2 linked regions of the Macaca mulatta genome follow. Each later gene encodes a partner of the first gene's protein in a complex. Links are inferred from orthologs where the notes say so. Each region holds a gene or a part of one and is shown on either strand. Other genes may lie near its edges.

What was found. The genes of interacting proteins can lie anywhere in the genome.
Region 2: the proteins of NCAPD3 (region 1) and NCAPG2 are in contact, whole or in part, in a cryo-EM structure (PDB 9F5W), measured with the Homo sapiens proteins. The link is inferred for Macaca mulatta from reciprocal best matches to the Homo sapiens genes NCAPD3 and NCAPG2. Residues at the interface, in NP_056076.1 of Homo sapiens: Glu1213, Lys1216, Ile1217, Pro1218, Leu1220, Gln1247, Ser1250, Glu1251, Tyr1254, Lys1258; in NP_001268861.1 of Homo sapiens: Phe291, Lys332, Pro333, Ile334, Trp336, Lys340, Ala341, Arg342, Arg347.

What each region holds. Positions count from the first base shown.
Region 1 is NC_133419.1:134,390,266-134,394,351, forward strand, and holds part of NCAPD3 (condensin-2 complex subunit D3), read right to left. Parts: intron 2,888-4,086; coding exon 2,705-2,887; intron 1,300-2,704; coding exon 1,133-1,299; intron 881-1,132; coding exon 741-880; intron 1-740.
Region 2 is NC_133408.1:198,087,226-198,091,017, forward strand, and holds part of NCAPG2 (condensin-2 complex subunit G2), read right to left. Parts: intron 1,886-3,792; coding exon 1,815-1,885; intron 844-1,814; coding exon 690-843; intron 576-689; coding exon 402-575; intron 1-401. UniProt on the Homo sapiens protein: Regulatory subunit of the condensin-2 complex, a complex which establishes mitotic chromosome architecture and is involved in physical rigidity of the chromatid axis.

The DNA.
Region 1 (4,086 bases):
AAACCACCAAATGAGAAAACATACCTGCAAGACATCAAGTTAAAACTGCTAGTATTTAAAATTTTCTTATAAAGAGGCAATTCAGGAAGAAATACAAATAAATGATAAACATGAGAAAAAATGTCCATTCTCATTAGGATTCAAAAAAATAAAAGAGTCTAACTTGGCATGAGTGAGAGAGGACAGTTTGACACTATCCAACGTTTTAAAATATCCGTGGCCTTTGACCGCTGGGAATTAATCCCAAGGATTACATACATACAAGGCTATATGTACAAGGATGTTCACTGTGCCAGTATTTACATGAAAAAATTGAAAATCAACATTTCAAAGAACAGGATAGTAATAAATAAGTTATTTCCACAGACACAATGCTGTAAAGCCACTGGAAGCAAAGGTTTGAAAGAAAAGTTCATGGAAGCTACATCTGACTTAAGTATGCAGGGAAACAGATCATAAAACAACGCACACACAGATCACAATTCCAGAAACAAAACACGTGTGTAAGAGGAACAGAATGGCTGGAGGAAGGAATGCCTCACTGCTATGGGTAAGTTTCATCTTTCACTCTATTTTCCAAATCTCCTAGAATAAATATGCATTGTTTTATTACCCATGATCCTAAAAGCCCAATTAATGTTACTTGTTTTAAAGATAAGAAAACGAACCGTTTTGAAAGGAATGAGAAGTAGTCATGTTCTGTGTCTTGATCTGTAAATGCTCTACTATGTCTGGCTTACCCTGATTGCACGTTTTCTCTGGGCTTCCAGAATTTAAAGTGAAAGGCAGCACTCCTAAGCTCCGACTCCGATGCCTGCTCTTTGACTCCACAGCTTTCTTGACAGAATTCAGGATTGCAATGGTGCTCAGGGACATGGGTCTGTGGAGAACAGCCACGCGCTGACTTTCTCACTGCAGAGGTGACAGTGCTGCACCCCGTCCCCACGTGCCTCCTCTCTGGCGCATCCCTCACCCACACTCACTCAAACCTCCCAGGGCAGAGTGCGGAGGGGGTGGCAGGCCAGACAATGACAGTGCCTGTCCTGCCCATGCTTGGTGGGAGGGGTGGGGACGCCTCTGAGAACATCGCCCCAGAGAACCAGCCCTGATGTGGCCTCCAGGGGCTCTTTACCTGGCTTTGGGCAGCAGCCTCTGCAACGGCCCAGTTTCAGGTGCAGGAGATGCCACCGGTACGTGGCCAGCACTTGCCCTGTGTGTGCAGGGCTGGCTCACGGCAGGTGACAGGGCGGGGTTTTCTTGGCCAGCAGGAACTGGCGCTGTTTCTAAACATGGAGCAACCTGGCGGAGAAGATAAAGAGTATGAACCTTCTAATACTTTTTAAGTTTTTAAAAATTGATATATGATAGTTGTACATGTTTTAGGGGGTCCATGTGCGATTTTGATACATGTGTACAATGTAATGATCAAATCAGGGTAATTGGGATCTCTATCACCTCAAACATGAGTATCTTTTCTTTGTGTTGGGAACATTCCAATTCTTCTATCTACTTTGAAATATACAGTAAATTGTTAAACTATAATATCTCCACTGTACTGAATACTAGAATTTATTTCTTCTATCTAACTGTATTTTGGTACCCATTAACCAACTTCTCTTCATCCCCCTTCTCCCACCCCTTCCCAGCCTCTGGTAACCACCAAAAATCCACTCTCTTAACTCCCAGAGATCCACTTTTTTGGTTCACATATATGAATGAGAACATACAATCTTTGTTTTTCTGTGTTTGGCTTATTTCACTTAATATAATGTCTTCTACAATCATCCATGTTGCAGCAGATGACAAGATCTCACTTTTTATAGATGAAAAGTACTCCATTTTATATATGCACCCCATCTTCTTTATCCATTCATCCACTGATGGACATTTAGGTTGTTTCCAAATTTTGCTATTTTGAACAGTGCTGCAATCAACATGGGAGTGCAGGTATGTCTTCGACATCCTCATTTCCTTTCTTTTGACTATACAGTCGGCAGCGAGGCTGCTGGCTCATATGGTAGCTCTACTTTTAGTTTTTTAGGAACCTCTATACTGTTCTCCATAGTGGCTGTTCTATTTTCCATCCCTACCAACAGTGTACAAGCCATTCCCTTTCTCCATTTTAACACTTTTATTGGAATACAATCTTCACATACTATAAGCAAGTCCATAAGCAATGTACTTTGAAGCCTTATCAACGCTGGGTAAGTTGAATTTCCTTTTCAGAAACAGAATACTGTGAGAAAGCTGCCACTTGTAGATGCTGTGGCATGACATAAGAGAAAAAGGAGTACGCTACTTTGTGCTCATTGGTCTTTCCTACAAGAGATCTGCCTGCATTCCTCAGGACAGTGAGCAGCAGCTCTCCCTAGAAATGGCCATGGGCCAGTCTGCTCTCAAGAGGGCGTGCTGGGGGAAGATGCGAACACACTGACACACCCTGGCAGACCTAGGATCTATAGTCACCAGCCTCTGCTGCTGCCAGCTCACTTCCTGCACCACATCCTCGTGGAAGGGAGGTCTGGAGCACAGTAAATCCATCACAGACAGAAAGGCACAAGGGAGCAGCCAACAAGCAGCACTCTCGAGGCCTTTGGGCTGACTAACCTCTGATGACGGAGATTTTGAGAGGTGCTAGACAACAGACTGGTAGCAGACAGCAGACTGGACTGCCTGGTCACAGCACAGTGGGCCCCACACCTACCTGTGCCACAGGTGCCACCTCGGCACCTCCAGCCGTCCCAGTCACATCTGCATGCTTTGCTAGCTCTTGCTCCTGAGCCAGCTGTTCCTGGTACTTCTTCATGTCATACTCAAGCTCTGATGCCAGCTGTTTGTCAACTGCAAAGAAGTCCTTGACCTCATCTCGGTAATCCTGCATCACCTCCTAAAACAGACCCAGGAGCATCCTTTAATGTTTTCTTGAATAAAAAAGTAAGCCCTAAACCCCCATGACACACCTTTGCCTATGTTACAAACCTGCACATCCTGCACCTGTACCCCTGAATGTAAAATAAAAGTTAAAAAATAAAAAAGCCCCCAACATGACTTGATAAATAATAATAGGAACAATAAGACTGACATTACTGAAAGCAGACATTTCCATTCCAGTGACTAACAGTACAGTGGTACATTTGGAGCAAACACCACTGGCCACACGAGCAGGTAAATGTGTGAGTAACTAACAGCTCACTTTCTCAGGAAGCATCCTGGCCATCTGGCAGTTAATGGGCGATCTCTCCCAGGTTCCCAGTGGGAGAAAGACATGCTCAGACACAGCCTCTGGAGCAAGTCCCAGGATGCCACGGATCTCAAAGCTGCTCCTCTGTCTACATTAGCCTCCCCACTGGCTCTCAGGGGATTACAACTAAGGTTCAAATCCCATCTTTGTGTCTTCTGAAGATTTTACAGAAAACCTTTTCTCATACCTAGGGAAGAACATTCTTAGGTCTTAAAGAGGGCTGCCAGGAGCAAGACCACTTTGCTAAGAGAAAGAACCATTCCACCTAACAGGAACAGGGAGAAAAAGACACTGCAGTTCCAACTAGGAGGGAAGTCTCAACAAAGAGAAGGGATCCATGCACTCTTCCAGCTGCCACTAGGAGTGGGTTCTACAGGCCAATGAAGAGACTCCCTGAAGCTGCTGACAACAAGCAGCGTGTGGCCATCCTCTGGGTGTGAGCTCACAAGCAGGAGGAAGACTTATTTTTCTTAAGTGCTTAAGTAGTCTATGTAGGATCTAAGTTGTTTTTTTTTTTTTTTTTTTTTTTTTTTTCCTTTCTAGGGTCTAAAGCAGGGCAATAAATACAAGAATACTTGGAAGTTTTTATTTTTATCATACAATGAGACTATCTTTCCTACCTTAGCTTCCTAGTATAAAAAACTATTTGAAAATGTATATTCAGTGTAACTTTTATTGAGGCCTCTAGTGGAAAAAAAATTGTAGCATTTTTTACAGAGATATAACTGCTGAATTAAATAAAAACTACGTCGCATTTATTTCTTAGTAAAAGATTTTGCCAGAAACATCTGAGGCCCCACTTAGGTCTGCCCTGCAAGTCAACACATCCTGGGTTTGTTCAGACT
Region 2 (3,792 bases), on another chromosome or scaffold:
ACAGCTGGGAACATGATGGGTTCCCAAAAAATGTTCTCCAAACATTCCCAGAAAAAACTGCCAAGGACTGCAGGGACTGAGTGTCCACATGAAAGGGTGTGTGACGTATCTCCAGCAGAGGGTGTGTTCTGAGAAACTCGGGCCATCCTCCTGAGTCCTAGCACCCTAGCAGGTGCAACAGAAATGCAAGATTTCTGAACACATGTCAACTGGGACTTGACTCCCAACCTTGCCCCGGCCAGGTTCCATGCCTTGTACCAACTGAATGAGGTGACATGATCACTCTCAATTCTGTTGCAGCCAGAACACTTGTATAGCACTGGAAATATGAAACCTTCACATCTTGATTTGCCACCACCACTATCATACAAGACCACTCAACTCTCAGGGCACAGAGTTACCTTTGATGTTTCAAGGGCTTTCAAAAGATGATTAAGTTTCTTTCGAGGAGCAGAGAGCAAGCACTCGCGATTCTTTGGATGAGTCAGCAGATACTCAATGTAGACCAAAGCCAATTCAGGTTTGACTGGGCGTGTGTCGTGGATCTGCACCCTACGTTTAGAAGCTGTGTTGCTCTGAAAGAAGAGAGACACTGATAATGAAAACACATGTCCCTAGAAAAGCATATCATTTCTAATACACAGTTATCCTCACTCACCTAATTTTAAAGAAGCATGATGTTAACCTACCTTGGCCTGGGCATGCTCTGTGGGCAGCCAGTTGTCCACAAGCTCCAGAATGTGCCCCACTTGCCCCCAGGAGCAGAGGCAATCCAACAAAGTGCAGTAGCTCTTGTCCACAGCGCCCTCCTCCTGGCTTCTTAGCGTGGAAATCACACCACAGCTGACAAGGTCAGATGGAAAATCAGGTTGAGTATTTCAACAGAAACTCCCCCACTTTGTCAAAAGGTGAGGAAAACCAAGAAGCTAAAATCTGACGGTGCATAAGCCCTTGTTATTATATTAGCACTTTCATGCTCTCCAAGGCGGGAATAAATACAGTTTCCCACAGTTGCTACACAGCTGCATCCCACCACAAGACCTGAGATCAGCTCTGGACGCTGAAGGAGCAGGGCACAGCAGCTACACAAAGCCCTCATCCTTCTGTTTCTGTGCCATCTGTCACGTTCTAGAGCAAGAGTTTCTACTCTTGAAGAATAATTTTTGTTTAGCATCAAAATACTCCTTTTTCTTCCATAAATATGAATAAACATAATTTTTACTGAGATAATCACCAACATTGTAGAGCTCTAATAAATTATGTGAGACACAAATGCAAGCCACAAATGTAATTAAAAATGTTCTACTACCCACATTTTAAAACACAAAGAAAAACAGGTGAAACTAATTTCAATAACATAATCTTATGTAATCCAATCTATCCAAAATCATTTTAACATGTAATCAATATTTCACACTCTTCTTTTTGCACCAAGGCTGACTCCATGTGTATTTTGTACTCACAGCATATCTCAGCTCAGATGGCCAAAGCTCAGGTGCTCAGGGTCACATGTGACCAACGGTGGCCTTGTGCTCCAGAACCTCCCACACCAGGTGCTAAGAATAACCCCAGACTTAAGGTGGAGTAACAGTTTCAGTTCCATATGTAGTCTCTGCTTTCATCAGTACCAACTTAGGGCCACTGAAAATCACATCCTGATATTTTCCCTACCACAGGGAGAGGGAAGGGCAGAAGGAAGAAGCCACAATGAGCTGAAAGCTAAATGTTTTGGTCTGCTGACATGAAGTAGTAACTCAGCACAACAATGGATAGGATTGCCACTTCACTACCGCACGGAAGAACAGAGCAAATACCTGAACGGAGGGACAGCAGAGGCCGGCATAAAGGACATTAGCATGAATAAAGGGATCTTGCAGCGATCATCCTAAGAGCAAAAGGAGAAAAACAAACCAAAGCACATGTGAACACTATAAATTCTGAAAGTGTCTCTACGTAAACTCTAATAACTTACTATCAAAGCTGGTCAAGAAGAACCATGGTAGTTCTTTCCATGTTCAAAGGGAAAACTTAAACCAGCCTCATGTTTGAGGGGCACAGAAAATTACTTGATAAGTGTTACAAAAGTTTTATATAACATTTTACTACTTTGCAAATATTTATTAAGCACTTGCTATGTACCCAGTGCCAATCTAGACCCTGGGAATATGCCAGTAAGCAGGATAAACAAAATCATATGCTGTCACGAATTGAATCTACTTTAAAAAACAACACTGATGAAACAAAAAAAAAAAAAAAATTAACTCTATGCACTTGGTATCCTGAACATAAATCTCAAGAGAAGGAAACTATTCAGAGAAAATGTTATAAAACAAAATCAGAATATCTTGAGGAAGACAGTATAGTTCAGTGGAAAATGCAGCAGGGCGTGGTTGCTCATGCCTGTAATCCCAACCCTTTGGGAGGCTGAGGTGGGAGGACTGTGTGAGGCCAAGTTACAGGCTACAGCAAGCATTCACTCCAGCCTGGGCAACAGGGCAAGATTACATCTATTTAAAAAAAAAAAAAAAAAAATGTCCAGACACAGTCGCTCACCCTGTAATCCCAGCACTTTGGGAGGCTGAGGCGGCTGGATCACCGGAGGTTAGGAGTTCGAGACCAGCCTGGCTAACACGGTGAAACCCCGTCTCTACTGAAAATTCAAAATTAGCTGGGCATGGTGGCAGGCGCCTGTAATCCCAGCTACTCGGAAGGCTGGGGTAGGAGAATAGCCTGAACCCACGAGGCAGAGGTTGCAGTGAGCCAAGATTGCGCCACTGCACTCCAGCCTGGGCAACAAGAGTAAGACTCCATCTCAAAAAAAAAAAAAAAAAAAAAAAAAAAGGAAGCTTTAAGGCTACTGAGCCAAATCCAGACCCAATCAGATTCTGTAGCCCAACAGCCGACATAGCACAGAGGAGAGGAGTTAAGCTCTCAGAGTCAGTTTCTTCCTCTGCAAAACGAACACAGGACTGTTGGAAGAATCAAAGTGAACTACACCACACAGAACCACAGTATAATACTTAGAGTGTCCTCAGCGCTTAGTAAACTGCAGCTATATTATTATTACTGAAACAATAAGTAAAAGGGGGTCCATCTACCCTTCATCAAGAACACTCAATAAGAGATACTCTTGGCTGGGAGAATGAGGACATAGTGAATCCTAAAAAATAATAATAATTTTCCTGAAAATATATATGAAACAGAAACAGACCAAAATCAAAATTTGATTAGTAATTAATCTGCATTCACAGTGACCCCATCCTTACCCCCAACTAACAATAAGGGAGGAAAATATCTCGTTAATGTTACAAGTATACTGATAATGATGGCCAATTCTATCTGTGTGGCTCACCCATCATCTCTTTACTTAGAGAAGGAAGCAATTTTCCCTAGTGGTGGAGAGACCTCCTATAGACATACTAAGAATTAACTGAATCCCAAGACCCTCTAAGGGTTTCCAATACCCCAAGGCCACAACTGCCCTGTCCGCCAACCCACCTGGTATCCTATATGGGCTTCTGTTCATATTCTGAAATAATGCTGGCTTCTCAGCCCCAGGTCATTATTTCAGCTTTCTTTCTTTCTTTTTTTTTTCCTTTTTTTTTTTAAGAGGCAGGGTCTCACTCTGTTGCCAGAGCTGGAGTGAGTGCAGTAGTATGATCATGGTTCACCGTAGTCTCAAATTCTGGGCTCAAGCAATCCTGCCTCAGCCTCCTGCATAGCTGGGACCAAAAGGCGCAGGTCATCAGGCCCAACTAATTTTTAAATTTTTGTAGAGATGAGGTCTCACTA